Linked DNA regions of Lonchura striata. The protein of the gene in region 1 binds, or shares a complex with, the protein of each later gene. Links are inferred from orthologs where the notes say so. Each region holds a gene or a part of one and is shown on either strand. Other genes may lie near its edges. The genes, in order: coiled-coil and C2 domain-containing protein 2A and TCTN1.

Evidence for each region.
Region 2: coiled-coil and C2 domain-containing protein 2A (region 1) and TCTN1 share a complex: the UniProt entries of both Homo sapiens proteins name them as parts of the tectonic-like complex. The link is inferred for Lonchura striata from reciprocal best matches to the Homo sapiens genes CC2D2A and TCTN1.

What each region holds. Positions count from the first base shown.
Region 1 is NC_134606.1:15,060,419-15,076,510, forward strand, and holds the start of coiled-coil and C2 domain-containing protein 2A, read left to right. Parts: upstream 1-7,906; 5' UTR 7,907-7,982; intron 7,983-8,811; 5' UTR 8,812-8,819; coding exon 8,820-9,057; intron 9,058-9,822; coding exon of another isoform or gene 9,823-10,454; exon of another isoform or gene 10,455-10,560; intron 10,561-16,092. UniProt on the Homo sapiens protein: Component of the tectonic-like complex, a complex localized at the transition zone of primary cilia and acting as a barrier that prevents diffusion of transmembrane proteins between the cilia and plasma membranes.
Region 2 is NC_134620.1:12,013,088-12,028,453, forward strand, and holds the start of TCTN1 (tectonic-1), read right to left. Parts: upstream 7,949-15,366; 5' UTR 7,942-7,948; coding exon 7,752-7,941; intron 7,063-7,751; exon of another isoform or gene 6,225-7,062; coding exon of another isoform or gene 6,206-6,224; coding exon 6,085-6,205; intron 3,777-6,084; coding exon 3,646-3,776; intron 3,289-3,645; coding exon 3,122-3,288; intron 2,717-3,121; coding exon 2,629-2,716; intron 1,761-2,628; coding exon 1,651-1,760; intron 1-1,650. Other genes in the region: PPTC7 (protein phosphatase PTC7 homolog), read left to right, coding at 13,894-14,095. UniProt on the Homo sapiens protein: Component of the tectonic-like complex, a complex localized at the transition zone of primary cilia and acting as a barrier that prevents diffusion of transmembrane proteins between the cilia and plasma membranes.

The DNA.
Region 1 (16,092 bases):
GGAAAAGCTATCAGCTTGGTTTGTTGCAAGTGTTACACCTAAAAGCTTAACTATGCTGGTTTTTGAAAAATTTTACTCATGTCAAGCCATGGACAGATATCCTCTTCCATTAACAGCACAACAGGGACAAGAGACTGCTATTCAGCTGAACAGGGCTGCTCCCTGCCCCAGGTCACAGCCTCCACTTCTCCCCTGTCAGAGAAGCTTATGGGCACCTTCCCCAACTTTCTTCAGAAAAATCAACCAGCTTAGTGCAGTCTAAGCCTTTAACATGCTCCTTTTGTCTCTGCCTAGTTCAATGTAGAATGTAGTCCCTGGCTGGATGCCTACTTTTCCATACAGTTCCCAGAAAGGCACAGTGCCAGGGTGATATCATTTGATGAACTTCCAGAAGAAAACAATGTGCTGGAGGAGGAGTGTCCTTTTGAGGGTCTTGAAGTTTTATTCACATTTCTTTTCTCACATGGTGAACACTGTTCTTTGGTGCCATATGCTGTACTAAGGGAGCAACTGGGTGAAGGAGAATCCATCTTCAGAGGTGTCCATGATCTGAAAAACAACATATACCTTGAGGGCATGAGAATTAAGCCATGCCCAGGGACTACAGCATATTCAGCTATATATCCAGTGAAGTTCCCAAGTAGTTCTTGCTTTGCTGTCTGTCTCCCATCAGTCACTCTTGTGCACAGTGAATGCTGTCATGAGGGGAGCTCTCTATGGACTTCTGCTCACAACGTCCAGGTGGGAAGGCACAAGGCAGGGGAAGTCTGTCCCCATGACTTGTGTCAAGAATTTGTGACTTTTGTTCTTATTTGTCCCCATGTGCCTTGCAGTTTGACATTTTATTTTTGTGCCCTGTTTTTTCCTCTTTCCAGACCATCCAAAATGGTTTACCCAGCCTGTGTTTTATTTCCCTTCTATCACCACAAGGTCAGCAAGGCACAATGATCTAAGACAGGAAATGGAAATTTTCCTGGTAAGGGCTGGAGAGGAACCAAGAGGAGGAAACATGCTTGAATTGAAAGACTTTTCACAGGAGATGGGCACACTGCTCTAGGCATCTATCCACATCTTTAAATGCTGACATGCTTCCATATGCTGTATTCCAGTCCAGATTTGTAACCAACCCTTCAAATTCCAGGTCATCCCTGAAGACAGCTTCTAATTTATGACTCCTGTCTCTTTTTCCTATTTTATTTTAGGGAAGTAGAGAACACAATTCAAATAATCCTGTGCCTGAGGTGTAGGCACCCTCATATCCTGAGTCTCCCAGTGTTAAATCCTGGCTATTTTTCTCTACACTGCAAGCAAACATGTTATTGACTCCATGTCACTTGCCAACTGTAAGCAACTGGCCTCACTTCTTGGCTTTCTGTCAAAACAAATTCTGTAAGGTTATATTTATTTGTGTGTTCTGGTACAGCTGGCAGTGAAACTGCTTTGCTTGCCAGCATTCTTGTTAAAATTCCCACCAGCTGAGTCAAGCTATCTCACCAATACACACTTTGACTAGGCCGTCTGGCATTTTTCGGAAAAACAACCTTCCAAATAATGGGAATACCTGGAGATACTATGTATAAAGACAGACACTGAGAAATAAAATTGCTCCCACGCTTCTGATATTTTGAAAGTCAAGCATACTAAACTTCTAGCCTTGATTACATGCACTTGCTTTTTAATGGAGGCTTGAGACATGGTTGAAGAATCTGACTGCATTCAACATAGTTATAAAGAAGATTGTTCAAACATAACTGACTATAAACTTAAGGGCACGAGAATATTAAATGTCAGCACTGCTAATGAGGCCTTTAAGGATTTTTTTTCTCAGAAATATTTAGTTAATGGTCCTTCCCACTGGCTGATTGATTCCTTTGGGCACCATCAGTTGTTCTGGTACTGGGAACCAGAAGTTCAGACTGCTCAAAACTGTTGGGTCACTTGCCCCTTCTTACACAAGGGAAACAAAACAAAACAAATCATGTGAAGATTGCTGGATTGTGTAGGTAACCCAAGCAGTGTGGTAGTGGCCAGCTGTTGTCTTGATTCATTAGAGTAAGGTGTGGTGTTCCAGGTGAAGCTCTGAAAGTTCAGCATAGCCTCCATAGCACAAAACAATCTGGGAGATATATAAAGCTGTGGCCAGCTGAAGGTGGATGATCACTTCAAAATCAATGGGAAAAAGAAATCCATCATTAAGACTCATATTTTAATGGCATAAAAATCATACAGAATAAAGAAACTGCTGAGTGTGGCGTGCCAAACCACAAGCACGTGTTTCTAAGGCCGTGTAGAAAGGTAAATGGTGGTGGCAGATTGAATGGCAGATTTGAACCCTTCAGGCATGTGGACACAGCTGACTTTTGCAGATCATGTTTTGAGATGGAAAAGACTGGCATAGCCAGTGGGGTTTCAAATGAATTGCTGAAGATGTCTCTCTCTCTGCTTCTCATCCTGACTTATTATCTCCTTATTCACTGTTTTTCCTACCCTACGGTTCCTGGATGGGAGAGTTGGGGAAGGTCTGTGAATCTCACAGTGAGGATTCCTGGTAGCTATGAGGGGTATTTCGGGCCTTTGCATTTGGAAAGCAAAAGGACATATAGACTATCTTGTTCTTTACCAATAATCCATTGCCAGGGCTGCAGACAGAAAGGGCCCACAAGTATCACAATTTCTCATCTACATCTTTGTGTACAAGGAAGTTAAACACATCTTCTACTGCCTAAACATCTGTGTGTATGCATTGGAAGTGAATTCAAAGCTCGCAAAGTAAGACAAAAGTAAGAACTTAGCCAGGGCAGCTTGTGACTAATAGCTACTGGTGCTTGACCCAGTTTTTATTTACAACAGATTCATGAGAAATTTTCTAGTCTTGTTTCAAAACTATGCCAATTAATAAATTTTAGAATTAGCCCTACATATTTGAACAAGTGAGAAAGATTAGATCATATACCAGAAAGTCTCAAAACTAGGAATTTCTTACAATCAATCCCTTAATTTCTAAGTTTAAAAAAATGTTAGTGACATAGTCTGAGTATACCAGTAATGAAATGAGATTTCCCAGTGGCTTGATGATAAACCCTCTGCTGAACCCTGGCTTCAATAGGGATCTAACTTACAAAGTATGTTCTCAAGGACATAATAGAATTATAGAACAGTTTGTCTTGGAAGAGACCTTTAAAAGTCATCTAGTCCAACCCCCCTGCAATCATCAGGCACATCTTCAACTAGATCGCTTTGCTTACAGCCCTGTTCAACCTGGCCTTGAATGTTTTCAGGGATGGGGCATTGACGACCACCTCTCTAGACAACCAGTTCCAGTGTTTTGCCATCATCATTATTAAAAATGTCTTCTTTCTGTCTGTTTTAAATCTACCCTATTTTAGTTTAAAGCCATATCCTCTTGTCCTATTGCAACAGGCCCTACTAAACACTCTGTCTCCATCTTTTGCAAAAGTACCACCTTTAAGTACTGACTTTCAGCACTTCATAGGAGAGTTGCTCCAGATCTTTGATTGCCTTTGTGGTCTCTTCTGAACCTGCTCCAGGATGTCCATGTCTGTCCTCACTGAAGACCCCAGATTTGGACACAGCATTCCAGGTGGGATCTCACAAGAGTGTAGTAGAGAGGCATAAGCACCTCTCTTGACCTGCTGGCCATGCTGCTTTTGATTCTTTAGACCTGCCACCTTAACAGACTGCAACAAGGTCCAGGAAAGCTTTTTGAATGTTTTTCCAGTATTAAATGAATCAGATAACTTTAAGAACTCACTTGGAAAATCTGCTTCTGTCTTCGTTCGACAAGACAGGAGTCTGTGAAAGAGGGCAAAGCCTCCTGTGCAATGGAGAACGGCAAACCCCCCTCCCTCTGAATTACCAGGATCTTTAAATTAAAAGGCTCTCAGGCAAAGATGTGGGAATGGGAGTAACAATTCTTTACTAGGAGAAAACTAGACAACAATTTAAAAAGGCAAATGCAATCGGTACAAACAAAACCAGTGAAAAAAAAAGTCCAGAACCTGAGGAGTCGGGGTGCCAGTAGCAGTTCTGCTGGGACAATTGATCCCCTTGCAGTGGTTGATGAATTGCAGCTGAAGTGGTGATCTTTAGAAGGGTATAGTTTTCCTCTGAAGATCTGGTGGCAGTGGGGCCGGTCTTCCTCTGCGCCGGGGTTGCCTCTGAGCTCCGCCGCCGCCTCCCTGTGCCCCGGCTGTTTCGCTGCGAGATCCCGCGAAAGAAGAGAGAGCGCTGCTTCTCTGGGAATCCCGCGAAGAGAGAGAGCGAGCTGCTTCTCTCGGAGTCCCGCCCAGAGAGCTGCCTCTCTCCCCAAAAAGCTACCCCTTTATACAATAATAGAGTGCTTGGCTTCCCCCTCTGGGTGGGACCCCTCACGGTGTTACATTTACCAGCCCTGCATTGAATCAGTCAATGGCCCACTAACAAACCATTACCTCTTAGGAGCAAAACCGGTTCTTGGAAAAGATAACAAAACCTGTCCAACAGGTTTGCCTTCAACAGATGGCAAATAGAATACAAGCTTATCTTACAACCTAGGACAGCTTCAGAAACCATTCTTAGCAAACTGGTCTAGTGAAAAGTGCCCCTGCCCACAGCAGGGAGGCTGGAACTAGATGATCTTAAAGGTCCCTTCCAACACAGACCATCCCATGATTCTATGACTATAACTGATCAGCATGTCCATCATCTTCCAGTGAATGCCTTGATCTGCATTCTTCCTCTACCTAGTGGATTTGAAACTTATTGAAATGCCATTTCCTAAATGTGGAATAACATTATTCTAACTCTGAGTTTATATAATTTTCATTATTATTTTTGGTAATGGCTATGATGAAGATGTATGCTATTGTTCTGAAGAAGAATACCATGTGCTTATTCTGGCTTGCAGTTTTTGGAAAAATACACTGAACTTCTCAAATGTTGTTTTTCTCTGGAGACAAATCACTTGGCATGTATAAATGACTTTGTTTCCTACCCCAGTTTATGGACAAAAGTTTTTTATCTTTGAAAAGGACAACCAAAAGCCAAGAACAAAGTGTTATTTATGGTTCACATTCTGCCTCCCAGTTAACTCTCTGTGAACAAATATTTAACTACAACAATAAAACTATAACAATAGATGACTCCTGACAAAGTGATTTGGGAAGTCTATTATACCCTCTAACTTCTTAAAACCATGTGAACTGAAATCTCTTTGGCCTCCTAAGTCAGCCTGAACTTTCAAAAGCCATGGTCATATGTTCTTTTTCACCTTTAATGTTTCAGTGATGCTTTTAATGGCACTCACTGGGAAACAGGGGGCATGGGTTCAACACTGTTCTCCCTTCCGTGGTCTGAGGAGATTTCTTTTTTAGTTGTTTTACAAGAGACTGCAATAACAGACAGGCACCCCCTCCTTATAAGTTGACTACTGTTATGCACAAAAAAATGCAAGAGTCTGAATTCAAAGGGCAAGAGAATTCCTGATTCTCTGGCTTAATGCATGGTTTCCCAAATGTAATTTTTTGGCTCCCACTGTTGGAAGTAGCTTTCTGTGTTTCCCCAAGAATAAATTCAGGTCTGTAAACATCATCACCTCAACCATTATCATAATTTTCTCCCAAGCCCAGCTCTGTTTGCCTAACTGCAGTCCTACCATTCAGCTACACAGCCCCTCACTCCTTAAGACCCCCAACACATAGATGAAATCTCTGTATATTGTCCTCTATGCTTTCTCCATCCCAAACTGGTTCTCCAAACACCATGCCCCAGGCATCTAAGGTACATCCCTACACTCCTATCTCAACAACCATATTCCCCTCACCTTCCCCAAATGACATTTTTCCCATGGTCTTTTCAGAAATACATGTCGCAAACTAATTAATTTCCTGTAGGCACATGAGAAGAACAGCAGGGGAGGTCTGGGAGCTGGAGACAGCTTCACAAATCAATAAGGTACTGGCCAGCCAGTGACAGGAACAGCTGTGTGAAGTTTTTTACTCTGATTTGTAAAATATCCTTGACACTGGCAAAACTAGAAATTGTTGAGATTATTTTTGCCTGGCTTACATGCAACACAGTGTGGGAATATCCAGCCTACTGATTCAGACTTTCATCTGGCAAAGGGCAGGATTTTTTTCCAGTCCTTGATCCTTAGGTCATGTCTGCTTCTTATCCATCAGCTTTGTGTAAAATGCATATGCAGCTTTAAGCATGAAGTCCCTCCAAGTTGCTCCCTCCTGGCTAAGTGTTTGAAGTTTTTCTTTTCTGCAAAGAGTTTTTTGTCCCTGATTTAAGTCCCATGAAAGTCCATAAGCTTTTTTTGAGTTTTCTCAGTAGTACATCAGAGCAAACGTCTTTGTGAGGTTTGTCTTGTAGCTAACAACTGCCTTGGAGTCATCATTCACTGCTCTGCTGTATTGTTCAGCATTCATATGCTAATCCATTTGTGGAGACTGCTATGCGTGACTGTATGGTAAGGTTTTATCAAATAACAGCAAAATTAATAGTTTGGTTTCTGCCAATTTGATGCAAGATGTCTAAAATGAAAAGCAAAATATCTATCACCAAAGAGAATTTTGGAGCATTATTTCTCTCCAAAAGATTTTCGTCTTTTTAACTGCATTACCACTGGTACCATAACAGTTTCTAATTTTCCGCTCTTTAAAATAAAAGATTCTTCATAAAGACTGTGTATATGTATGTGTATATGTATATGTGCATGTATATACATATATGCTGATCATTTCCTTGCTGAATAGACCTGACCATGCCATCCTTATAGCAGCTGAAACACCATGAACTGCAAATAAATGTAATGGCTTGGGGTTTTAAATAAATCAGTTAATGTTAATCATTATCACAGAGGGGAGAATGAGAACAACAATTTCTAGATTAAAAGGCTCTGCAGAGGGATGCTGGATCAGTGGGCTGAGGCTGGTTGTGTGAGGTTCAACAAAGTGCCAGGTCCTGCAACCCCAGGCAGCACCACAGGCTGGGGGTAGAGTGGCTGGAAAGCTGCCCAGTGGAAAAGGACCTGGGGGTGCTGGTGACAGTGACTGACCACGAGCCAGCTGTGCCCAGGTGGCCAAGAAGGCCAATGGCACCTGGGCTGTCCCAGCAGCAGTGTGGCCAGTGGGACCAGGGCAGTGATTGTCCCCCCATACTGGGCACTGGTGAGGCCACTCCTCAAATCCTGTGTTCAGCTTTGGAACCCCACTTCAAGAAATCTATTGAGGTGCTGGAGCTTGTCCAGGGAAGGGCAGCAGAGCTGATGAAGGGTCTGGAGCACAGGTCCTATGAAGAGCTACTGAGGGAGCTGTTTAGCCCTAAGGTTTGGGGGAGACCTTATCACATTGTACAACTCCCTGAAAGGAGGTGGTAGCCAGGTGGGGGTCAGTCTCATCTCCCAGGGAACAAGTGACGGGGTGAAAGGAAATAATGTCAAATTGTGGCACTGGAGGTTTAGATTGAGTAGCAGGAAATCTGTCTTCACTGGTTTCACAGAAAGGCTTGACTAGCATTGGAACAGGCTGCCCAGGAAGGTGGCAGAGTCACCATCTCTGGAAGAGAAATGTGGATTTTCAAGAAACATGTGGATTTTACATTGTTTAGTGATGAGTATGGTGATGATGTTAGGTGGATGTCTGGACTCAATAATCTTATCTTAAAGGTCTTTTCCAACCTTAATTATTAGTCTGTGATTCACTGTTAAGAAAAGATAGACTGCATTTCACAAACATTTTTCTCAATCGCCCATTCTGTTTTTTCTCTTTCTTCCCACAGAAACCTGTGGATTCTGATTTCCTTGAATGCTGTAAATTAGCTCTGACAGAATGGACAGCTCCAATAAAAAAACTCACACAAATTTTCTGAGAAGACATCAAAGGAACTAGAAATAACAGCTTGACTTGAAGGTTCTCACCTGACCCATGACTGACTCTCTGCTAATGCAACACTAAATTTAAGACGCCTTTGTATATCAGGTACTGCAATTATTCAGCATGTCACTGTTTATACAGTTACTTTTCTTTAGTATCCCAGTACACAGTGGGACAGAGAAATCTAATTTTTATCCAGTCGCTTATGAAAACACCCAAATACCATATATTAGGATTTAACCAATTTTCTTGCAAGATATTGCAACACAGTTCATTGTATATGACAGCCCAAGCCAGGTTTAAAAAACTCAGCCTGATAGCAGTCCATTCACACTCCACCATCCCCTGCAGGGCAGGGCAGCTGCCTGGTTCCACCTGACAGATGAGGGTGAAGTGTTTATTTGTGCTGTTTCCAAGGGGACCTGAAGCTGTAGCTCTCTAACTGCCATCCTTTCTCCAGCTTCAGCAAGTTTCTGCTGCAGTTATTTAAGATGGAGATTAATTTGCCACCATAAGTGCAAATTTCAAAATGAAATGAAGGTGTAAGCTTTATCCTCACTAACTCCCTGCAGCAAGAAGGGTTTTATCTGTAAAGTTTATATAGGGACCAAAGACAAAATACTATGCATTCAAAGATCTTTGAATTGAAAAAAAATCCAGATTATTTTTTCACATGTCAACATTTGGCCCCAAAAAGCTGATATTCACCAGTTACACTATGTCAGTCTACAGCTACTTACTTGAAAGACAAACAGCAACATGTAAGGCGCCCAGAAAAAGCTCCAACCTCACACTTTCCTCCTTGCCTCCTACACGGATTTTGGTAATGCAGAAATTTCAGGCTGAGGTCTGCACCTCTACTTGTGCATAATGCATCACAGTGTCACGCTTATTTGCATATGACAAGAGTGTCTTACTAAACTTTTTTTTCCAGATCTGAGGATGTTTGTGTTGCTGTACATTACAAGTTTTGCCATCTACACAAGCGAACAGCCTCTTCAAAGCCAGACCAAAGGAGAAAATTACTACACCAGATACATCTGCAGCATCCCAGGTTTGCCAGGCCCTGCCGGCCCCCCTGGAGCCAGCGGATCCCCGGGGCCTCATGGACGCATTGGTCTTCCAGGAAGAGATGGCAGAGATGGCAGGAAGGGAGAAAAAGGTGAAAAAGGGAGTGCAGGTACTGATTATTTGTGTAACCTAACACAGTAGTGCAAGAAAACAAGACCTTTCATCATCACTGTTATCATCATCACTATATCTATCTATCTATCTATCTATCTATCTATCTATCTATCTATCTATCTATCTATTTATTTATCTATCTATCTATCTATCTGTTTATCTATCTATCTATCTATGTATATATAGGTATATATATATCTGTATATTTATATAGATGAGTGTGTGTATGTGTCTGTGTGGGTTTAAGTGTGATGCATATATAAATACAGTAAGAGTATGCACATATATCAGTGTAAAGAAATGTAAATGCACAACCTTTCTTTGCACAGATGCTAAGAAAAGATTTGGAAAGAATGAAGCATGCTTGGTGCCCCACCTGTGCCATTAGCCAGTTGTTAATAATTAGAAGGTTCTTAGGTATGCACTAAAAATGCTCTATTTTTAGGAAATATTTAGCACACAAGTATAACTACGTAGGTAGTCATGCTGCTGTCCCTGCCATCAGTAGTGCCTGTTAGTTCAGGCGGCAATAGACTGATTACATATAACATTCTTTAATGTGTAATCAAGACACATGAAGATAAGTAGGAATTACTGGCATTCCTTTTTCAAACTTACTAGAAAACTTTGAAAGTATTTCTAGATATTTTGAAATTCTGACCATGTTTTTCTTGTTTGTTCAGGTACACGCAGTAGCCCACACAATCATTTACTGAGGTGATATGTATTAACGATTAACTAACTTAAAATGTTTTTGAAGGTTTAAGAGGAAAGACTGGGCCCTTAGGACCAGCTGGAGAGAAAGGAGACCAAGGTCAGTCTGGTAAGAAAGGACCTGGAGGACTGACTGGTGCCAAAGGTGAAGTAGGTCCAGCTGGACCACCTGGACCTAAGGGAGATAAAGGAGACCGAGGAGAGCCAGGTGCACCAGGGGTCTGCAAGTGTGGAAAGATAGTGCTGAAATCTGCCTTTTCTGTTGGCATCACCACAAGCTACCCAGAGGAAAGACTACCAATTGTATTCAATAAAGTCCTCTTCAATGAGGGGGAGCATTACAACCCGTCCACAGGGAAGTTCATTTGTGCCATCCCAGGGATTTATTATTTTTCTTACGATATCACCTTAGCCAACAAGCATCTTGCGATTGGGCTGGTGCACAATGGCAAGTACCGGATCAAGACTTTTGATGCCAACACCGGCAACCACGACGTTGCTTCTGGATCCACAGTGATCTACCTTCAGCCAGAAGATGAAGTATGGCTTGAAATCTTCTACACTGACCAAAATGGTCTCTTTTCTGATCCAACATGGGCAGACAGTTTGTTTTCTGGATTTCTCTTATATGTTGATACAGACTACCTTGATGCTTTATCAGATGAAGATGAGCTCTGAAGCAGATGTCAAATGACATTCAAACTGGAGGCCCCAGCATAGGATTTTATTCATCTGTGTGGGGAAAACAAAGTTGAAATGAAAAAAAAAATCTCTGGGTGTTCATTCTTGTTTTGATTGGAACCAAATCTGAGCTCGTAAGAATGTTCTAGAACCTAGGATGGATTTTTTTTTTTTTAACGAACAGCAGGGATATCAAAATGAACTGTAATGAACAAAAGACTGCATCACTCCAGGACTGATTCTTTCCTAAAATTACATTTATAATACTATTTAAACAAATTTAAGATACTGTACATTGGATTTGATATAAAATGTATTATTTTGCATTTTAGAATGGTTATTTTGTATATTACATTAAAGTAAAATTGAACAATTCACTGCAATATCATTGTTGGTCATTTTAAGATGGGCAATGCATTTAAAACAGATAGGAGAGGAATAAAATAGGAATCACTGCTTCAGGATGCCACTGCACAGGTCACAAGACCAGTCTCGTGATATTTACGACAACAAATAGCATTCATACCAACCTCACAGTAGGTACGTGCAGATTTGTACTAGCTGAGGACTACTCAATAGCAGCCATAAAAGACTAGAACAAAGCTATCAAATATATAAAGAAATTAAAAACTGGAAGATCTGGAAACTTGGAGATAGTCAGTATTCAGTGGGTATTTTCAGTGTAATTCCAAGTGTCTTTGCTATTCTTTAAATGCTATCTATTATCTTTATGAGAAATGTGGAAAAAAAGCATAAAATTTTTGCTGAAGATAATTGTGGATGCCCAAAAATGACAGGACAGTAATCACTAATCAGAGTAAATTATATGAAGTGAAGTGAGTCACACCACTAAAGCAGAAGTTATATTTCAATATGACCAAATGCAATAAAATAAATGTAGGTCACAGACAAGATGGAAAACTGCATTCAGCAAATCAATGACCTTGGAAAAGATACATGGGACCTCATGGATTATCAGCTAAATAGGAGTAATAAAAGTAGGCTGTTGCTACCACCCTTTGGATGTATGATAAATGGAATTAAAAGTAGAGATGAATAGTGGTTACCAAGAAAGCAACTACTTCTGTCAGTGCTTCAAAAACTTACTTGAAAGTTGCAAAAAAAATGTTTATACTTCTATTCATGGGGATTATACAAGAGATGTAACAAGGTCAATTTACTTTTCTTGTCAATGAGGTTAAGAGGTGATTTAATCACCTGTACCCATCTGGAGATAAAATTTCTGGTAGTATCTGGCACTTTCCTCTATCAGATAGGAGCACAGCAAGGTCCATTGGTGATAAACAGTATCAATCCCCACTGGAAATGGGAAATCCATCTTACCAGTGGCAGCAACCAATGACTGTAAAAATATCTTGGAATATCACGAGTTCTCCAGCATTCAACACCAGTCAAGACTGGCAATCTTTCATTGGGTCCTCTTACTTTCCAAGAATTTGCAATCCTTTATTCATCCCAGATTTACAGAGACCTGCTGTTTCTAACAATTATTCAGATAACGTTAAATGTTAGTGATCTGTGTTGCACAACTCTTGAGCCCACTTTAGTTATGACCAAGGTAGATGGAAATTTCAAGTTTTTTCTGTGTACTTGATGGATTAAGAAAGTTACAACCAGACAAAATGACAAAAAAGATGCTGCTGAGGTTGCAGAACCAGCACAATGGTTATGTATGGAACATCAGTGTGTGCACATGCACATCATCAGCATTCACAACTGTGAGTGCATGACTGCTGCTTTGTGCAGTGAACAGGTGCAAAGCCCTGACCACAAATCAAACTGGCAATGCTTGTACAACCATTATTTTATTTGACAGTGAGAGATGCCTGATAGAAGACAACAGCAGATTATTTTTCTAACTAGACATCTAATTTATTAGTGTCACACAAGGGCTGCTTTCTGTGAAAAATATGGAAAAGAACACTTGGAGATTTGGTTTATCACCCTGCTGTACAATCATTTATACATCTGCAAACTAAGGACAATATGAGTGCAAAATGCAGTCCAATCATAATTTACAATTATGATTGATGCTGATGCCTCACAGCCATCAGTGCGTATCTGAGGCACAAAGACCATCACCACTGTCCTATGCTGCCTGCACTGAATTCCACAGGACAGAACAAGGATCGTACCTAGCCCATGACTTCCAGGAAGCATAATTCAATAGATGCAGGACTGGACCCAGAATATGTTTCATGCAGCAAAACCAACTAAAAGAAGTTTTTTATTAGATTGTTATCTTATAAAATATGGAAATAGGCTTATGATATTTGAACCAGTATAAACTTTATGTTAGGAGTAACATATTAGTTTTATTAGAATTACAAAATCTGATAAACCCAGCCTTAAGGAAAGTGTATGACTGATTTTCTCCAGACTCCACAGAAATGTATTGAAGTTATAATACATCTGGAAATTTTCAGACAAAACTAATTTTTCTTAATGAAACAGAGGAAATATACAGCTTTATACTGAAATATTGCTGGTTGCAATCCTAACTATAGGCTAAGTGCTCCCATGTAAAAAATCTGTAAAAATGAATCCAGTATAAAAGATGTATTACAACCACACCCATGTTGAAAATGACACCATGGGACTAAGTAAACCAAGAGTTTACTTTTCTTAGCAATTTTAGATTTATGTTTGTACAATTATAGAAAAGTAAAGCTAATTTCCCAAAGTTTTCCCATTTGGATTCTATGCTTTTTTGAACAGTTTAAAATTTTGGCGTGAAGAGTTAAAAATAAGTCATCCTGTTAGATTATTTCTATAAATTTTGGCAAGAAGAATACTTCTACTACACATATGGACGACATATGTATATAAGTACCATGTGTCCCTGCCCTCATTAAAGGTCTCAAGACTTTATCCTAAAGTAAATCATTGCTATTGCTAGTATATTATTTGAAAATATATCAATTTTGATGACATGATATTGCATTTGGGGCATTTATCTGTCTAAATTTGAATTTATATGGAAAATATCTTGGGCTGATGTCTTCCCACAATTCACATCAGTACACGGGGAAGTCTGGTTAGTTTCAAAACATTGCAGGAGCAAAAGAGCAAAATTTCTTCATGATCAGATTTGAAATTAATCAATGATTTCTATACAACATATTGGTCATTCTACACATGCCATAATGACATATAAAATTAGGCATTCAGATCAAATTAGTCATCTAGACTCTGCCTACAGTCCACAGAGGAAATAAGTGCCACCAGGAGAAACTGCCAGGGGGAAGCATGTCTTTACTGCAGTACCAACTCTTGGGCTTCCTGATCAAGGCTGCAAGAACTCTTACAAACCTCAAATGATCAGGAAACCATCAAACAATATTAAGAATATCAGTATTCCTGAGATTCTTAACTAAAAGTATATATATACATATATTTACTTGGGATATGTGTATCTTTTTAAATCTACCTAACACCATTTAGGTACTATTACAATAAGCAAAAATATACACAACTGAAAGCAACTTATTTAATTTCCGACCAAGAATGTTACATTAGTTGTTACCTTCCACAGCTCACCCACTAAGTTCTGTTCATATTCATATACCAAGATATTTACTGACTAAATTAGTTTTCACTGGTTTATTTATTGATTTATTCACCCACTGGCAGGTAATTAATATTCAGAATAATTATACTAATGCTGTATAAGCAGTTTGGTCAGTAGGAACTTCAGTTATATGTGGAAACGGGGCTTGCTTTGGATATGTCATTCAGTAGCTGATGAGTCCCATCCAAGAAATAATACATGAAAGTAAAAAGGAAAAAAATAAAGTTGAGAAAGCAATATACCACTATCTTTACCAATGAGTAATGCTTTCAAGAAGCAAACTAGTCCTTTCAGCATAAACTATCTAGACTTCTGCTCAGAGAGCATTTAGAGGCCATATACATTGTTCTGTAACTCCTTAGGTCAACAACTGAGATTGTGTCAGCATTTCTGAATTTCAGAGGCATAATTCTTTCTCATATCCACAGGAAGAAATTTCAAAATACTGTCACGAAATCCTTGGTCACTGATACCTGGTTTTGTCCTAGCTGCATACATCAGATCAATTTATGAGAGTTACTACCTAAGGGAAAAGAAAAATTAATTAGATATATTACACATGTATATTTTAATAGCAAATATTCACAAAGAGAAAGGTGTCTTGGATTATTTGACTCATATTCTTCAATTTTGAGTATAATTTTGGCAGCTACCGGCTGGACAAGGTGTAAGAAGATTTTTCCTCCATGAAGATTGTTCTTGCAGCAGCAAATATTAGTGTAAAATTTCTCTTACCTGACTTTAATTTCTAAAAGTTCAAAGATCACTGTGTAGTTTAAACTAGTTGTTTGCTCTCCTGTTACCAGTGCAAAGAAATAGGTGGAGTAAATCTCTGTTTTGATGACCCTATATTAGAGACTCGTATTAAGAAAGAAGGAATCAGGAAGTACCCATGTCTTCACATCACCTGCATCTAAGTTACTAACTTAGGGTAGCCTTTAACTTGGAGATGTCAACAGTTAAATAAGATGTCTGCTCTTCAAGAACACTCTGCTTAGTGGAAAAAATGGCATAATATAATTCGGCAATTAGTATGGTTCAAAATTAGAAATATGTGGATTGATGAGAACAGAGAAGTACCCTGATAATGATGGAAGTGTCCTCTTGGCAGATCTTCCATAAAATATTGCTCAGATTCCTCCTGGGACAACTTCAACTGAAGTAACCCGGCTGGTCTCCAGAAAATTTTGCAATATATTAAGATGGTCTAACCATCATCTCATGCCTCCAAATTCAATACACATAAGTATATATAAAATATTGAAATTTTTGAGGATACTTAAGTTAATCCTGGAGTGATTCTACTTACACCAAAGTAAAAAATAATAAATTTGTTTCTTTTCAGCTTTACAGAACCTGTCCTAAATCCTAAATAAAATAAAAAATATAAGGCAGAATTTGTAAAATCATCTCTGTGGTAGGATAACCTGGTTTATGACATCTTAACAAATGAACAAAAATACTGCATTCTTGAAAAATACAAATGAATCATGGTTCTCAGTGGGGTCTTAAGTAAATATTTTGCAAGAAGTAGGTGAGGCTTTTAGAAATTAGTGAAATGCATGAAGGAAATGTACCAGCAGTGATTCTTCTTTCACTACTTTCAATGCAGTGTTATCTCTAGGCTCAGAAGAAAGTTTAAAGGACTTAAAACTTTTGAAATTATCAACAATCTCTTTCATCATCTGAAAACTTTCCTACCACTAATGTTGATTTCCTTTCCATATACTACCTGCCTTCATGCACATTTTGTCAGACATTCTGATGTGTGAACACAGACATCTAAACTGCACGTGACAAATTTCAAAAATGCTATTTGAGATTTCTGTCATGTTGGAGTAAAGTGTCACCAGTTTAAAAAATAATTAAGATGAGCAGAGTTTGTTCTTTCTTGTATGTAACCTCCTTGAAACTGGGATCACTGTAGGGTTGCACATAATACTTAAATTCCTATTCTAAGAACACAGCAACATGTACTCTGATACTGTAAATGTTCTATGTGGCTGCTAACATTTGATGTTTTCCTTGTGTTGACTTTACAAA
Region 2 (15,366 bases), on another chromosome or scaffold:
GTGAGATTCCAGCAATCCCCAACACTCCTTGGATCTGCTGGTCAGGCCAGGCCAGAGAGCAGAGATTATCTGCAACAATTCCCAAAACGTTGTTGTCACTCCGGCTGCCCATCCCGGCAGGGAGGGCGGGCTCCTGGGGATGGGGTTTTCTGCAGGACCCGCTGTCCCAGTGCTCCCAGTAAGGCTCCCTCAGTTACTGGTTTGCTGTTTCTTTTGCTGGCAGCTCCACCTGCTGGCACTGGCAGGGCTCCTGCTCTGTCCTGTGGCCACCCTGTCCCCAATGCCATCACTTTTCTGTTGTCACATCCCACCTCCAGCTCCCCTCGGGAAGGGAACCTTCCCACAGAGCATCTCCAGCAGCCTCTCAGCCTTCTCCAGTTCCTGCATCTGGCCCTTCCTGACATCCAGCGTGCTCTGGGCAGAACTCTGACCCCTCCCCAGCTCAGCCACTGCCTTGGAAGGCAGCACAGGGATAAGGGGTTATGGATTTTCCAGTCAGGAAAGGGAATTCACCTTTAATTCCCTTTCTCAGCTGCTAGAGCCTGGCCTGAGCCACTCTTGTTCTTTCCTAGTCCTGCAGCCAACAAGAACTAATTTTGGGAGGAGATGCAGACACTCAAAGCCCTTCTGAGGCTTCTGCATTTTCTCCACTTCTTCCACAACAGGAGGATCAAAAGCCAACATTTGGGAGCAATCCTTGGCTGATTTCAATGAGATCCTGAAGGAGAGGGAGAATGATCCCACCTGTGAGGGTGTGAAGTGCTGAGTGGGCTTTCCTTGCCTTTGGGAGCTTTGGAATCTGTGAGCAGCCTAGAAAGGGTCTTTAAATAGTTACTCACTGCTAATTAAAAGAATTTAAATAATGACATAAATTAAAATGATTTTAATGCTGAAGAGATTGCTGTTTCTTTGCAACCTGCAGCTTCTGGAAGGAGCCATCAGGTTAAGGTATGATGTATTTCAGTTTCATTTTTTCATGACTGATTTCTTTGTCTTCCTGAATATCCTTACAGGCGATATATTTGTACAGAAGACATCATGCCCCAGGTCAGAAAGGGATGAAAAAGTAGGCAAAACTTTGAAAAATAACCCCAGACTGGATTTTAGCAGGCAGGATCTAAAGAAACTTGCTCTCAGTCATGTTGTTTGGGACCATAAAGAAGGCTGTGCCAGGCTCCACTATCAAAAATGAGGCTTGGAGCAAAGGATTAAACCTGACAGGTTCCTCTTTCAGTACAAAGTTTTAGCAACTCTTTAAAACTCAGATTTCTTAGAATCATGTGTTCTGATAAATGGACTTCTTGGAAAAGCCTGAACATGCACAGGAACGTGAAACTGCAGTAGCTCAGTGCCACAACCTTGGGCTCTTCAAAACTATTATTTTTTACTTTATCTTTGACTACATTATTTATATTTGGCTAAGCAGAGAACAGTAAATGCTTCTGTTACCAAAGCTTGAAGTAAAAACAATCCCAAAGGCTTTCTGCATAAAAGTCTGCTGTATAGGGAGATGTTTCTTCCCAACCCACAATTTAAAAATCCAAATAAAACACCATATCCCTCAGTAAACAGAAGTTACTTCATTCTGCAGATGTAAAAGATATAAAATATGAGTATTTCAGCTAGATGACTGTTGCAAATCATACTTACTGCCAAAATGCTGGAGTTGATATAAAACAACATGCTAAGTGCTTGAATGCTGTCACATTTTTCCACACTTACTGATCTAATGCATTTTGTGGCTTGGTTTACTAAAAACCCTGGAAAAAAAAAGTCACCAAGCATTAACTGAAAGAGGAAATGAAAGAACAATTATGAAAAGCATAAATGAAAAACAATACAAGAACTTAGGTACAAGCAGAATTGAAAGTAAATGTCGCCTCTATTGCAGATAAGGTTTTATGTGAGCTTTGAAGAATGAAACCTTTTATATTCTAAAAAAAATGCTATGAGAAAAAAATATTATTTCTGAACAAGTAGAAAAAGCTTCATGAAAATTACTTAATTTTTCAATCTCTTAATAAGATTTTTATTTGCTTCCACAAGAGACTTCAGTCCTGTAATCAGCACCCTGACTCTTACAAGACCACATTCAATGATGACAGTGGGGTTTGGGAAATGCAGGTGTGGCTTTGGTTGTGGATATTTTTATTTTTTTTTTTCCCCTCCACCTCTGTAGATTTTCAGGAAATTGTGTGCAAGGTTCAAATGCAGAGCTCAGTCTGCAAATCTGAACAAAGAACCCTGAGCAAAGAGAATCTGCCAAAGGCTGCCCAGGCAGGGCTGGCTTGGTGCAAACCCCTCCTCCCTCAGGGTGTCACCCTTGTACTGTTGGATTAAACCAATTATGCCAAACAGGACATTTTATTGTTGGATTAAAAACCCTTTAACAAGATTCTCAGGGATTTACATATCTCACTTTGAATGTTTAACAGAGATGCAAGACAATTTCTAGTCTATGTTTTAAAAAAACCAAACAAAACAGAGAAACAGAAGTGATTTGAAAATCATCTGCTTGTGAACTTTAAGCTGAATTCTCCATGGGGAGTGTGCCAGATTTCTGACTGGTTAATCTAAGAGCAGAATATTAGAGAGCAAAAAAAATGAGATTCAAGTGTACTTTCCAACCTGCAGGATTTGCATCAGAGCACCAAGAAGAGACAACAGGACTTGGCAGCCTTAGAAATGCATCTTCTGTCTGGACAGGAACCCCATACTGCCAAATAAAAATTACAGGTGTGTTTCAGCCCATTTTTATTAACAACAAATATGAATAAAAGCAGTACCTATTTCCACAGGATCTCTCAATAATGCTCTGTGAAGCAATTTTTCAGTCACTGCTACAGCTTTATGTTGAAAGTAGCAAAAAAACCCAAAAAAGTGCCTTGTTTTTCAAAGATCTTAAAAATCTAGATCACTTTTTAAGTAACTAAACACAAAACATTACATTTCTTATTTTTGTATTTCTGAATTTGAAGTCCAATATAAATTTTGCTTCTTTCAGCAGAACTGCATTATTTAAAAGCAGATGCAAACAATGCTGATTTTTTTCTTTCTGGAATAATCTAATACTAACTGCATCAAATATGATTTACCTCCTATTGAATCAGAGATAATTTACCTCATATCTGGAAGTTTCATTTGCCTCAGGGGGATTTTGAGCATCTGTATCCAAATTCCAGCTGTCAGGCTCAGCACTGAAAGAAGCACCACCATATTTGTCAAGCAACTGATCAAAATTTTCTGCTGTTGGGATTTCAGGGGTTTTGAGGTACAAGGCTTGTTTATCTGTCAAAATATTTAAAGAAGGAGATAATTTAAGGAAAAAAGATGCAGAAATGACACTTAGTAACAATGAGACAACTTTAAACATGATTTATTTAGGATGCTAAATTATTTACAAAAATAAAAAACCCAAAGTATTTTGTTTTTTCCAACAGAGAAGACCAAGAGTACCAGATGTTTAATTCTGTTTTCACAAGTGAAAGGATCATAACATAAGAACTGTGAGCAGACAGAATTACCAGTTTCCTGAGGGGATTAATAAAATAAAAATAGTTTTAAATTTAGTCTTTTTTTCTGGCACCTAAAGAGCCAACAAAAAATAACACCACAATGCTTAATATTGCCTACAACTCTACTTACAGTTTGCAGCATGAATGCAGAAAATACTGGGATTGACTTGGTCAATTATTTTAAATATCCTTTCTGGTGGATTTGCTTCAACATCAAGAGAATACACAGCAGCCTTCTGACTACACAGCTGGCTGTCACCTCTGCAAAGAAACAAAATAAATTCATGATCCACTAGAAGTTAGTGTTGACCAGATTTTAAAGTTCTTTTAATCTACTGAGGCAGCAACAGAAAAAACAAAAAAGGATTAAATTACTGAATTTAACATAATTTTGTAGAACAATTGTGCATCCTTAGGAGGTTCCTATTGTTTTATACTCTGTGCTTAATAATAAATACTAGAAAATTCTCCGACATGTTTTATTCGGCAGAGGAAACTGTGAGCAGCAACATGAAGGTAGGTAAGAAACAGACTGGGGGAGGGAAAACAAATTACAATATGAGAGAGAAAATGGCAAATTGTGTGGGGTCCAGATGGTTGAGACCCCAAAAATGCAGGGCTGCACCACAGGTCACACACAGCTCAGCAGCACTTTTATTTCTACAACCCAAGTGGGATGTCAGAGCAGGAAAACAGGTCAGTTTTGTGGATGTTGGAATAATATTCAATTTGAGCAGGGAATGGGAAGAATTCCTGCTCAAGATGCAAGTGAATGAAGTGGCAGAATGAGGAACAGGAGGTGAAATAACCCAGCCTGTCTTGGAAAAGTGTTTAAGGCTCATCAGGAGCTCAGAGCTGCAGGAGAATGTGCCAGTTCAGAGCCTGGCAGCACTGGTGTGTCCTACATGCTACATCCCTGTGAAATTTGATTTAGCAGCATAGAGCAGCTAAGGACAGGCCCTGGAGAAGTGAAATGACTTTCAGAAATTTTGAAGCCTAGAGTTGAGCTCTTCCATGAGGTGAATCACTTGTTAAAAGGATCCCAGCATAAATCACACCCTTCTGCTGCTGCTTCAGAGATCTCATGGCCTCTGCCTTGAGATCAGCCAAAATAACACAAATATGCAAATGTAGATAAACTCTGATGTAAATAATGAGACCCACAACACCTGCAGACACTGAAAATCCCCTGGCTTTTAATGCAAAAGAAACATTTTACACAAAAGAATTTGGGCAAAGAAACACAGTTTCATTTGAGGCATTTCTAGTTGACAAAGGCAGCACAGTCATCTGAGGCAATTAAAGTGTCACTCAGGAGGGTGTTGATTAGACCTTTCTGATCTATATAAATATCTGTAAATGGGGAGCAGGAGTCTTTTGTGTGCCAGAACAATAAGAAAGCACAGTCTGGCATGACTGCTAATTCAAATTCCAAAGCACCAAGAATAAACCCAGTGCTCAGATTGGCATAATTTATACAGAAGGTGGGTTGAAAAGCTGCACTTATTGTTCTGAGAAGTCACCAAGAGATTTTTTTTTTTTTTTTTTTTTTTTTTGCACATTATTATTTTGAAGTGAACTTTCTTAACTCCTCTTTGAGAAGATGGAATTGGGTGAAGGTGTTTTCAGATTAAATAGCAAAGAAACAACTCTTGGCTTTACTTTTTTGGTACAATGTTACATTTTACCATTTGTGAAGGGGCATTGGGGGAGCAGATTGGGAAAATTAGGGTCAGAAAAATGCTCACACTATTTCAACAACCTCTGAACTGATTAATTGTGTAGCTGATATCATAAATGTAACCAAAGAGGTTACTGATAACAACTGGTGATCTAGAGAAGTGGCCAGATTGGTCCTTTGGTATCAGTTTTCTTAACTTCCAGACACTGCATTGATCAAATTCTAAAGATTCATCATTCTTCCATGTGGCAGGCACATTCTTCTCTATTTCAGGATTTTTCATGGAGGAGCACAGAGGAAAGAAAGAGAAAACAATTTCTATTTCTGCTCCTTGTTTTTTCCCATGTGGAATGTGTTTGGAAAATTGTTTACCTGGGGTGAGTGATTGCTTGGTTGGATTCTGGTGAGGATTGTTGGAGCCTGATTGCCAATCCAACTCACCTGTGGCTGGACTCAGAGAGGGTCAGGAGTTGGGAGGGAGTTGGATATGGTAGTTAGAAAAAGTAGGTTTGTAGTTTTAATATCTCCTTTAAATAGTATATTAATGTATTATAGTATAGTTATAATAAAGAAATCATTCAACCTTCTGGAGTCAGACACCATCATTTCTTCCCTCTGGTTTCACCTACATCTACAACACTTCCACCCCAAAAAAAGCATCACCACCTAAATGCCCACAGGGAACAACACGGTGAAACAGGAGGAAAGAGGGAATGAGAGGGAAAGAAGAGGTGGGAGGTGGATTTGCTGCTCTGCCCGGTCAGGGACAGAGTGCAGGAGGGAGGGGTGGGAATTGCTGAGAGGAGAAGACAGAGCCGTGCCAAAGGCAGGCAGCAAATGAAGGAGGATTTTGTGGGTTTTGTGCTTTCTGAGGATTTCTGCACTCACACGACGAGGGGCACCGAGCACGCGGTGAAGAGGCTGAAGTCCTCGGCGCTGCAGTCGGGGTCACAGCAGCAGTTGGTGTCGCACTGTGCCACCAGCAGGTCGCAGACACACATCTTGGCAACTGCACCGGAGAGCAACATCAGAACGGCAGCGGGGACTCAAACCCAAACACTCCCACCTCTCACCTCGCCCTGCTTCTGACACTGGCCAAAAGTCTTCTCCAAATTCAAGTTTTCTTGAAGTTATTTTTAAAAGCCATCTTTTCTGCTGCTCAGCAAATTTATTTGGAACACATGGACAAAATCAAGACGTGCTAAAACCTGTTCCCTGAGAAACAAAACCCAACAGGGATTTTGGAGGTGTGAAAATCTATTCAGCCTGGCAGAGGAAAAAAAATAAGAGATACCAACAAGGTGTGTTTATCTGCTTGTTTCAAGTTATTGGGAAGGAAAATAAAACATTTTGAGATGTTTACAAGTATTGAGGATGGCTCAGGGTTCAGGAATACATTTCCCTGATGTGCCAACGCAACCATAATTTACTTCTTTGAAATTGTTTTTTCTCTCTGTTTTTAGATACTGTGACATATTGTAATCACAGACAGTGTAATTGCTAGTAATTCTGTAAACTGTCTCAGTAAAATATACTTGGCAAATTCTTCAAACTCTCTGAGGTCTTCAAGTTTATAAATTCAAAGAATGGAGATTATTCTACTGAACTGTTTTTGAGAGATGCTGTTCTATAATGAATCTGGATTTAAGAATAGCACAGAATGAGGAAAATTAAGGCCAGTGTTTTATAAGAAAGACATTCAAAGAATATTTTCATAACTAATTCCTTTATTTCACTTTGCTGCCTGTTTCCCTGTGGCTCCCTGGATGCTCTCTGACCACCTGAACAGTATCCAGGTATTTCCTGGAATCTCTGAAGTTCTGACTGTTCTTTTGGCTGAGTTTAGCCCTGGATCTTTAGCTCACCCTGTAAACAAGAGAAGTTTAAACATGGATGATTAGATTGCAAGGTTATGCCTGTGACACTAGGGATTTAAATCTCCTTTCCCTAAGGAGGTAGCACTGGGGTGAGTTCCGTTTGGCAAGTAACCCATGGAAAGCACAGCTCAGGGCAACACCACCCTATATAAAAGTGATATAAAAATGTAGCAAATTATACAGCGGGAAACACCTTCTGAGAACATAATAACTAAACTTCGTGAGCTCTGTTTTTACGACAATGTATCAGCGCCGAGGCTGAGCCTCGGGGCGAAGCGTGCAGCCAGCTCCAGGTGCGGCGGAGCTCCCCAGGGACACCCGGGCACTCCGGGCCCGCTGTGCCCAGAGCAGCGCTGGGTGGGCAGGAGACCCTGCCCTCCACCCCTCCGCCCCTCAGCGCTGTGCCATGCCCGGTCTGCGGTGTCCGTGCCGCCCTCAGCGTGCCCGGGGCTGCTCCGGGCTCGCTGGGGAGGCTCCGGGCGCCTGCACCCGCCCAGGGGTGCCCGAGCAAGCAGCGCTGCAGAGAGCCCCAGAGATCCCCGGGAGAAGCCGGGCGGGTGTGCCAGCCCCGGGAGGCCGCAATGCGAAGGGGAGGCCAAAGGCCGAATGCCCGAGTGAGGCCGCCAGCGGAGCCCCCCTCAGCCGGGCAGCGCCGCCGGCGCCCCGCAGCGCACCCACCGTCCGTGACCGGGGCCGGCGCGCTGCGGACCGGCGCCTGTGCGGCATCACGAGTGTCTGCGGGCTCCGCGGCCGGCTCTTCTGCCCGGAGCGGAAGGAGGAGGATGAGGACGAGGAAAACGCCGAGCCCCGGCGGCGCCGCCATGGCGGCCGCCCTTAGCAACGGCGCGTTGCTAGGGAGCGCGGGCATGGCGGGAAGGGCGAGTCCGGCTCTCGCGAGATTTGGTGCGCTGAGGGGAAGGGCGGCGGCGCGGGAAGATGGCGGGTGGGGTGAGGGCAGGGCTCGGTAAGGGGATGGCTCGGTGTGTGCGGCTCCTCCAGCCGCCCTCGGGCTCCCTCGCCGCCCCACAGCGCGGGGAGCCTCGCAGGGAGGCCACGCGCAGGGTTCTGGCTGGATATGGCCGCCGTGGTGGTGCCAGGCGGCCGCTTGTGCCACCCAGCGCCCTCAGGAACAGCCCGGCGGTGATGAGGGCTCGGTGCCCCCTCAGAGCCACGGGAAGGGTTTCAGGTGTAGTGATCCAAGTGTAACCCACGTAGGTGGTTTGGGAAAAAGTTATTGGAAGGCCACGCATAAAAAAAAAATATTGGGGAATGGCCCTTTGCAAGATATAAAATATTATATATTTATATAGATATATAGTCTACATATCTATAACTATATTTCACAACACTTTTGGAAAATTTTTTTAGTAATTTTTCCTAAAGCAATTTTTAAACTGTTGAAGTTTCTCCTTTTGAAGATGCCGTGTGTCTTCAGTACTTAGCATATTCAGTAATCTTATTAGTAATCTTTTTATGTGCGCTGTTATCTTTGAGGTCTTTTTCAACCTAAATTACTCTATTTTGCTACTAGTTTGGAAAAAAAACCGCGCTAGAGAGTGACTAAATGATCATTGTTCCTTAGATCATTCCCAGCCTTAAAAATTCTTTTATCTGTTTTTATTTCCCTGATCAGGTTCATTACTGTGAACTTGAAGGGAAGGCAACAAAAGCTCTCAGAACTCTAAAAACTCCAGCTGCACCCACTGAAAATGGGAATAACTCCAGAGAGCCCTCCTCTGCCGAGGCTGTTTGATATTATCAAAGAGCTGGTGACCAATGGGTTTCAAAAGCTCCAGGCATGTGGAACAAAATCCTGGAGTCATCCTTGGAATGGCCTCATTCCTCCAAGGACACAGTGACACAAAAGGTGAGAACCCCCTGTGCTCTACTCTGCCTCAGAAATTGCACCCCAAAATAACCTCGCCAAAAATAACCTCCAGCCTGCCTTCCTTGTGAGATATAACCCAAAATCTCTGGTTTTACCTTCTTCCATGGGGATGAAGAACTGGTGTTTTCAGTCTGTTTGCTGTTCCTGAGGTGGCCAAAATGCTGCTGCTGGTGTTGGGTTTGTTATTTTTTTCAAACTTAGAGTGACCACACACTTCCATTTTGAAACGGACCTGTGAAACGGTGAAAATGGCACCACAGGGCTTTATTTTCACTGAGGCTGTACCAGGACTGGCTGCAGCCACTGGAGAGGATATGTGCCTGCGTTTGGAGGAAATCCTGGGAATCTTTACAGCTGCATCTCTTTCACTGTCCCACAACAAAGGAACAACAAGAGAGGCAATCCTGCAGGAAGGACAGCTGGAACACGTGGCTGAGATACAACCTCCCTCTGGATGGAGCTGGTTTAGGGCCTTACAGCACCTTCAACTTCCTTGACTAAACTCCCACATGGTCAGTTAACAAGGATGGAGATGTTTCTCCTCCCTACAAGTCCTACAAAGTTGGAAATTTGGAAATTATTTTGCAGGCTTGGAGGGAGAGTGGTGCTTGGTTTATTTTATCGTCACTGGTTGTGATCTGTGTCCTTGTTCCACTGCAGTGTCATGAGATAATTAATACTAAAACACCTCTATTTGTTAGTTTACATGTTTCTCATGCCTTTAAAATCAGTAGAAGAGGGCTGATGACATTGCACAGGGGAAAACAATTTAATAAATTCTTCTTGCATCGGGAATTACATGGCAAAGCTGATGGTGCACAGGGGACCAACTCCAAGATGAAAACCAAGCCTTGCTGAAATCTGAAAGCACAGATTGCACCCTGGATGAATGTGGGCAGGAGCTGGATGAATAAAGAGGTATTAATTCTTACTGCATCTACCATTGAAATGGAATAGAAGTGGGCAACTGTTCAAAAGCAAAGTAGGATGGAATTAATCTGGTTTTCTCGTGACCTTTTTTTTTTAGGGCTTCACTCACAGCAACAGTTCACCTAAATCCACTTAAAATACTTGCTGTAATAGAAAAAAAAAAAAAAAAAACAGAGAAAGGCAAGACATCTAAGAAAAACAATTTGAGAAACCCCCCACCAGAAAACTCAGCCTGGTATTGGACTTCTGAAACAGGTTCCAAAGAGCAACTCCAAGTGTGTAGGATAAGATCAGGGCATCAATACATAATGCTTGTTCTCCATCAGAGAGATTTTAATTTATTCTGTCAACATGAGCTAATTAATAATTAAAAAGGGCACTGTGATCCTTATGTGGGAGGTCCTGTAAAATGAAAATTCAAGCAATTTGAGAGGCAGGAGATGCCTGTTTATTAAAAAACACATTCAGGGATTTACTCTATTACTGTTTCAATTACAGTTTCAGCAGCAAGATTCTGATGTGCATTTAAGCATTATAGAAGCTGTGACTGCCCCATCCCTGGAAGTGTGCAAGGCCAGGTTGGAGCAACCTGGGAGTGTCCCAGATGTCCCTGCCCATGGCAAGGGATGGAATGAGATGATATTTGATCCAAACCATTCTGTGATTCCTGTTGGTGATCTTCTGACTTTGCATCTTCTCTTGACACGTCATGTGGGAAGTCTCATGTTGTCCTCCTCACATTAGTATTCTTTTTAATCCAACTGTGCTGTCTTGAATTTCATCTTTTCAGAGGTAACACGGGGTTTGCCCTATGACAGATCACTTTAAAAGTCCAAGTGGACAGGCATTTGGAATTAAGAGTCCAAACAAAGTCAAACCAGGCTGAAATAAACTGCATTTTGGTCCAGCACAAGATTAGCCTTTTAATAAATAGTGAGGAGCTGAGGCAGTCTGTACAGCAGATGGCATTACAGGTAATATTTATCACACTCCAATCTCAGGGCTCAGATACTTGGAAGGACTGACATCAGCTATGAGTGAATCAGTTTTAAAACAAGCTGGAAACCTGCTCGTGCCTCCAGCAGTTGATTCCTTTGTGCAGCACTTCTGTTTTGCACTCCCCAGTGCATTTATTGGTCTGGACAAGCCTAGCAGGAAGAGTTCATTTTGTTTTTGCAGCTTAAGTGAGCTGATGTAAATAGATCTTGGACTTTGAGGTGGGAAGATTCCACCCAGCTGCAGTAACCAGGGGGATGCCCTTTGGTCCAGTTTTTGTGCCAAATTTGTGCATTGGGGAATTTTAAACAAATATCACTTGGCAGGATATTGACTCTCAGGGTACAAGAATAACACTGAGTAAGGCAGCAGGGCATGGGCTGGGAGGGATTTACAGGGAGAACTATCCAGACTGACACTGAACAGTGAAGAAAACCAGTTCTGAAGTATTTTATTAAAAATAATTGGGTTTTTGTCTAACAGGAGCCCAGATATCCTCTGAATGAAAACCAGGAGCAGTTTTTCATCTGGGCACAACATCCTCCTGCAGGAGTGACAGAGTTCATCAGAGGTTACTAATTACCATGGAAATGATGAGGTTGTCTGGCTGTCTGGACAGACTTGGGTGGGTGACCTGGAGTAGAATCATGGGACCATTAAGACTGGAAAAGACTTCCGAGATCAAGCCCAACCTTTGACCAAATACCCCCATGCCACTAAACGGTGTCACAAAGTGCCACATCTACTTGTTTTTTGATCTCTTCAAGGGTTTGTGACTCCACCACTTCCCCAGGGAGGCTGTTTCAAAGACTTTCATGGGTGGAGGAGTGTGAAGAGCTCCTGGTGTGCCTTGGCTTGGGGGCACTTAGGGAAGCACAGAGTCGTGCTCTGCCAAGTGAGTTTGTCAGCCCTGAGCTCACGATGTTCCTCAGCGTTTGAGCCGTGGTTGCTGGGCGAAGTGGCACAGAGAGAACCCTTCCAGCCCTGGAAAAGTCGGCATTGAGGCATGGAGAACTGGGCTTTAGCTGTGGGCTGAGCAGCACAGCCAGGTGATGCAGGACAGGTCACCTTGCAGCAACCCGAGCTGCCTCAGGGCACTGCAGGCAGCAGCACAGAGCAAGGGGTTAGACCAGGCTGGACTTGAACCAGACAGGACCGGGACAAGGAGGAGGAAGAATGAGACTCAAGGAAGGGAAAGAATGATTCTGTGGGGGAAGCTCTGCAAATATGTGCTTCCCTTTGCTGATAAAGGAGGGTGTGAGGCACTGAGAGAAGCCACCTTGTTTGTCTGCTCTCACACCCTGCCGGGCCCTGGCAGCAGCACGCCCTTATCTCCAGCACATTGGCACATTCAGCTGTGCAGCCATTCCCTAATCCACCACACTGGGCCTGGGCTGCTCCTCGTGTTCATTTCTCCCTGTTTTAACAGGAGGATTAATTTTTAAATAAGTTTGGATACAATTTCAGCGTTAACTGGATAATTCTACACATTGCTTAAGCCTTTAGCAGTATAAGGGGGGTAATATAGTCTCTGTCCAAGTGCACAGGGAGCAAAATGCCTCTCTTGGGATAATGAGGGTGCTTCAGCTGTGGCAGAGTTCTTCCTTTCACTGCAGGCAGCTCTGGGGGCAGGTTTCACACTTGCCTCTGCTGCATTTCCACCTCTATTGTTTGTTGTCTCGGGTTATGCAAGTGGCAGCAGCCTCTTGTGCCTGTACCCAGAGGAATTAAACGATTTTGCAAAGCAACCTGCTGGGAACTTCCAAGGGGACAAAATCATTGTTTGCACACCCACGAGCAGCACGGAAAACCGAGCTGCAGAAAATGAGGATTTGGGTCTTTTTGAGTATTGCGGGCCTTTGCGACATTGATGCCTTGAAGTTGTTGCTGTTGAAGATGCCCAGCTGAGAGCTTTGTGTCACTCTCAAGTACAATTAACGTGATTTTATGGGGTTTGAGCGATGACTGCACACACAACACACCCTTCTCGTGAGGCTTTTGTTTGGCATTTCACGTTCCTTAACCAAAATGGATTAACTGCCAGCCTTGCCACGGATTTGCAGAGAAGCCTCTCACGCAGAGCGCTGAGCTGGCTGTGTCCCCGGCCGCACCGAGCCGGGCAGAACAGGGCGAGTCATCCTTGGGGGAAAAAAAAACCAAAACCCAACACATTTTTTGCGCGGCGTGACTCACATAACCGTCCTCAGCAGGCACGAAGCACCGGCGGCCAGCGAGTCCCCGCGAGTTATTCGGAGCACGCGAGACGCGCGGGGCGTGGAGGGCAAGTATGTGGGTTAGGCGCAGCCGCGCTGTGCCCGGTGTGAGAACGTTAATTGCGCTAATTGCGGCAGGGAGCCGGCGGGGGCGGGGGCGCGGACCCCGCTCGGCGCCGCGGGGGCTGCCGGGAGCCGCCCGCTGTTATTGTCCCGCAACATGCAAATGAGGCGGGGCGGAGAGCCAATGGGGGGCGGGGGCGCGGCCGCGCGCCGCCGCCGCGCACGCGCGCCGGGAGGCGGGCTGCGGGGGCGGGGCCGGCCGCGCGCCCCGCCCAGCGCCGGGGCCCTCACCTTGCCTCAGCACGCGCGGCGAAGATGGCGGCGGCGGCGGGCGGCGCGGCGCGGGGGCGGCGCGGGCGGCTCTGACCGGGCACGGCGGGCGGCGGGGAGCGAGCCCGGAGGGGAGCCCCGAGAGCTCCGCGGGCAGCGGGGAGCTGGCACGGCCCCCCTCGGGGGGCGGGGAGGGTGGCGCGGAAGGCGGGGGCGCTGCCGGCGAGCCCGGCCGTGAGGGGCAGCGCGCGGCCCGTGAGGGGCAGCGAGGGCGGGTGAACGGCAGCCGCGGCCGGACGGACGAGGCTCCGCGGCGGGCAGGGCTCGGAGCGGCGGCGGCGCGGGCCGGCGGGCAGGGGAAGGAAGGCTGGCGCCCTGCGGCTGGCGCTCGGCGGGCAGGAGGCGGCTGCGCCGGTGGATCCCCGCGTTCCTGGCGCTCGGCTGCTGGGCGCCCCACGCCATGTTCTCGGTGCTCTCCTACGGCAGGCTGGTGGCGCGGGCGGTCCTGGGCGGCCTCTCGCAGACGGACTCCCGCGACTACAGCCTGGTGACGGCCAGCTGTGGCTTCGGCAAAGATTTCCGCAAGGGCATCCTCAAGAAAGGCATGTGCTACGGGGATGACGCCTGTTTCGTGGCGCGGCACCGCACCGCGGATGTGCTGGGTGAGTGGCCGGGCCGGGGGCTAAGGTGGCTCCGGCCTCGCGGTGTGGCCCTCTCCTCCTCCTCCTCCTCCTCCTCCTTCTTCCCGGAGCTGCACGTGGCGAGCGGCTCAACCCCCGGTCCCAGACAAAGGAGCTGGTTCTGCCTGTCATTGTCACCGTGACTTCGCTTTTTTAGCTTCCCAAGGAAGCTCTCGGGCTCTTTGTTGCAGCTCTCCCTGCCTTTAGCATGGGGGGTTGTGTGTGCCGGGTGTCCGGGCCCAGTCTGGGCGTTTCACCTGTGGGTGCCTGTAAGGCCTGGTGGCTCCAAAACTCAGAGAAACACTTCCCAGTTCGTTTCAGTTTCCGTCTTTCTTTAAAACCTGAGCCCCGTGTACATACATTGCATTTAAGCATACAAGATCACTTGAACAGGCACTTCCTGATTTTAAGGCGTGCAATGTCCTTGTCAAGTGAAAGGCAGAGTGACATTGAGACTGGAATCAAATGTCAAACTTCAGTTTCGTTCTTTGTTCTGGCCTGATTGCACTCTCCGGTTCAGAATCACTGGCGAAATGAATCTTAAGGGTTCAAATTTTAGAAGTAGTGAATAATTATGGATAATCAGTAGAATCTTTAGACTAAAGAACATTGCTTTTGACAGTGCTTTGACCTTTCTCCTGTGTACTCAAGGTTGAATTTGGCTGACTGATACTCTGCACAAGTTCGTCGTGGTGTAACTGCCAGAAGCAAATTTTTACCAAAACTTTGACACTTAAAAAAAAGCTTCCTTCTCCCTGCCACTGCCCGTGGTTTTGGTGGTTTTTTTTTGTTGTTGTTGTTATTGTTTTTGCATTTATTTATTTTAAACCTGTGGGGTTGCACTGTGCTGTCTCCTGCTGTGAAAGTGGTTGGTGGTTCCTCTGTTTGGCGCTGTCATTGTAACTTGGTTGCCATTTAACTGAGCGAGAGGTTTTCCTCAGGAAGCTGCAAGTTGGTGCTAGGTAACAGTTATTGCTGCTTATTCTCAAGGAAGCTGTTACTGTAAGAGTGATGCCAGAGCTCTCAAGATGTGGAAGGTTGCTGGGTGCATTTTAGACACTCATCATCTTCCCTGTGGTGCTTCTTCCAGATAAATTTTTTGGGATTAGAATTAGCTGTTGGATGCCCTTCCTTTAGCATGTGACTAACCCTGGCTGCCTTTAAAGTTCATGCTAGACCAGCACTGATAGATAACTGAGCAATTGGTGTTTGCCCTTAAGAGAAATGCAGGATCTCCTGTACTTTGAAGTGGA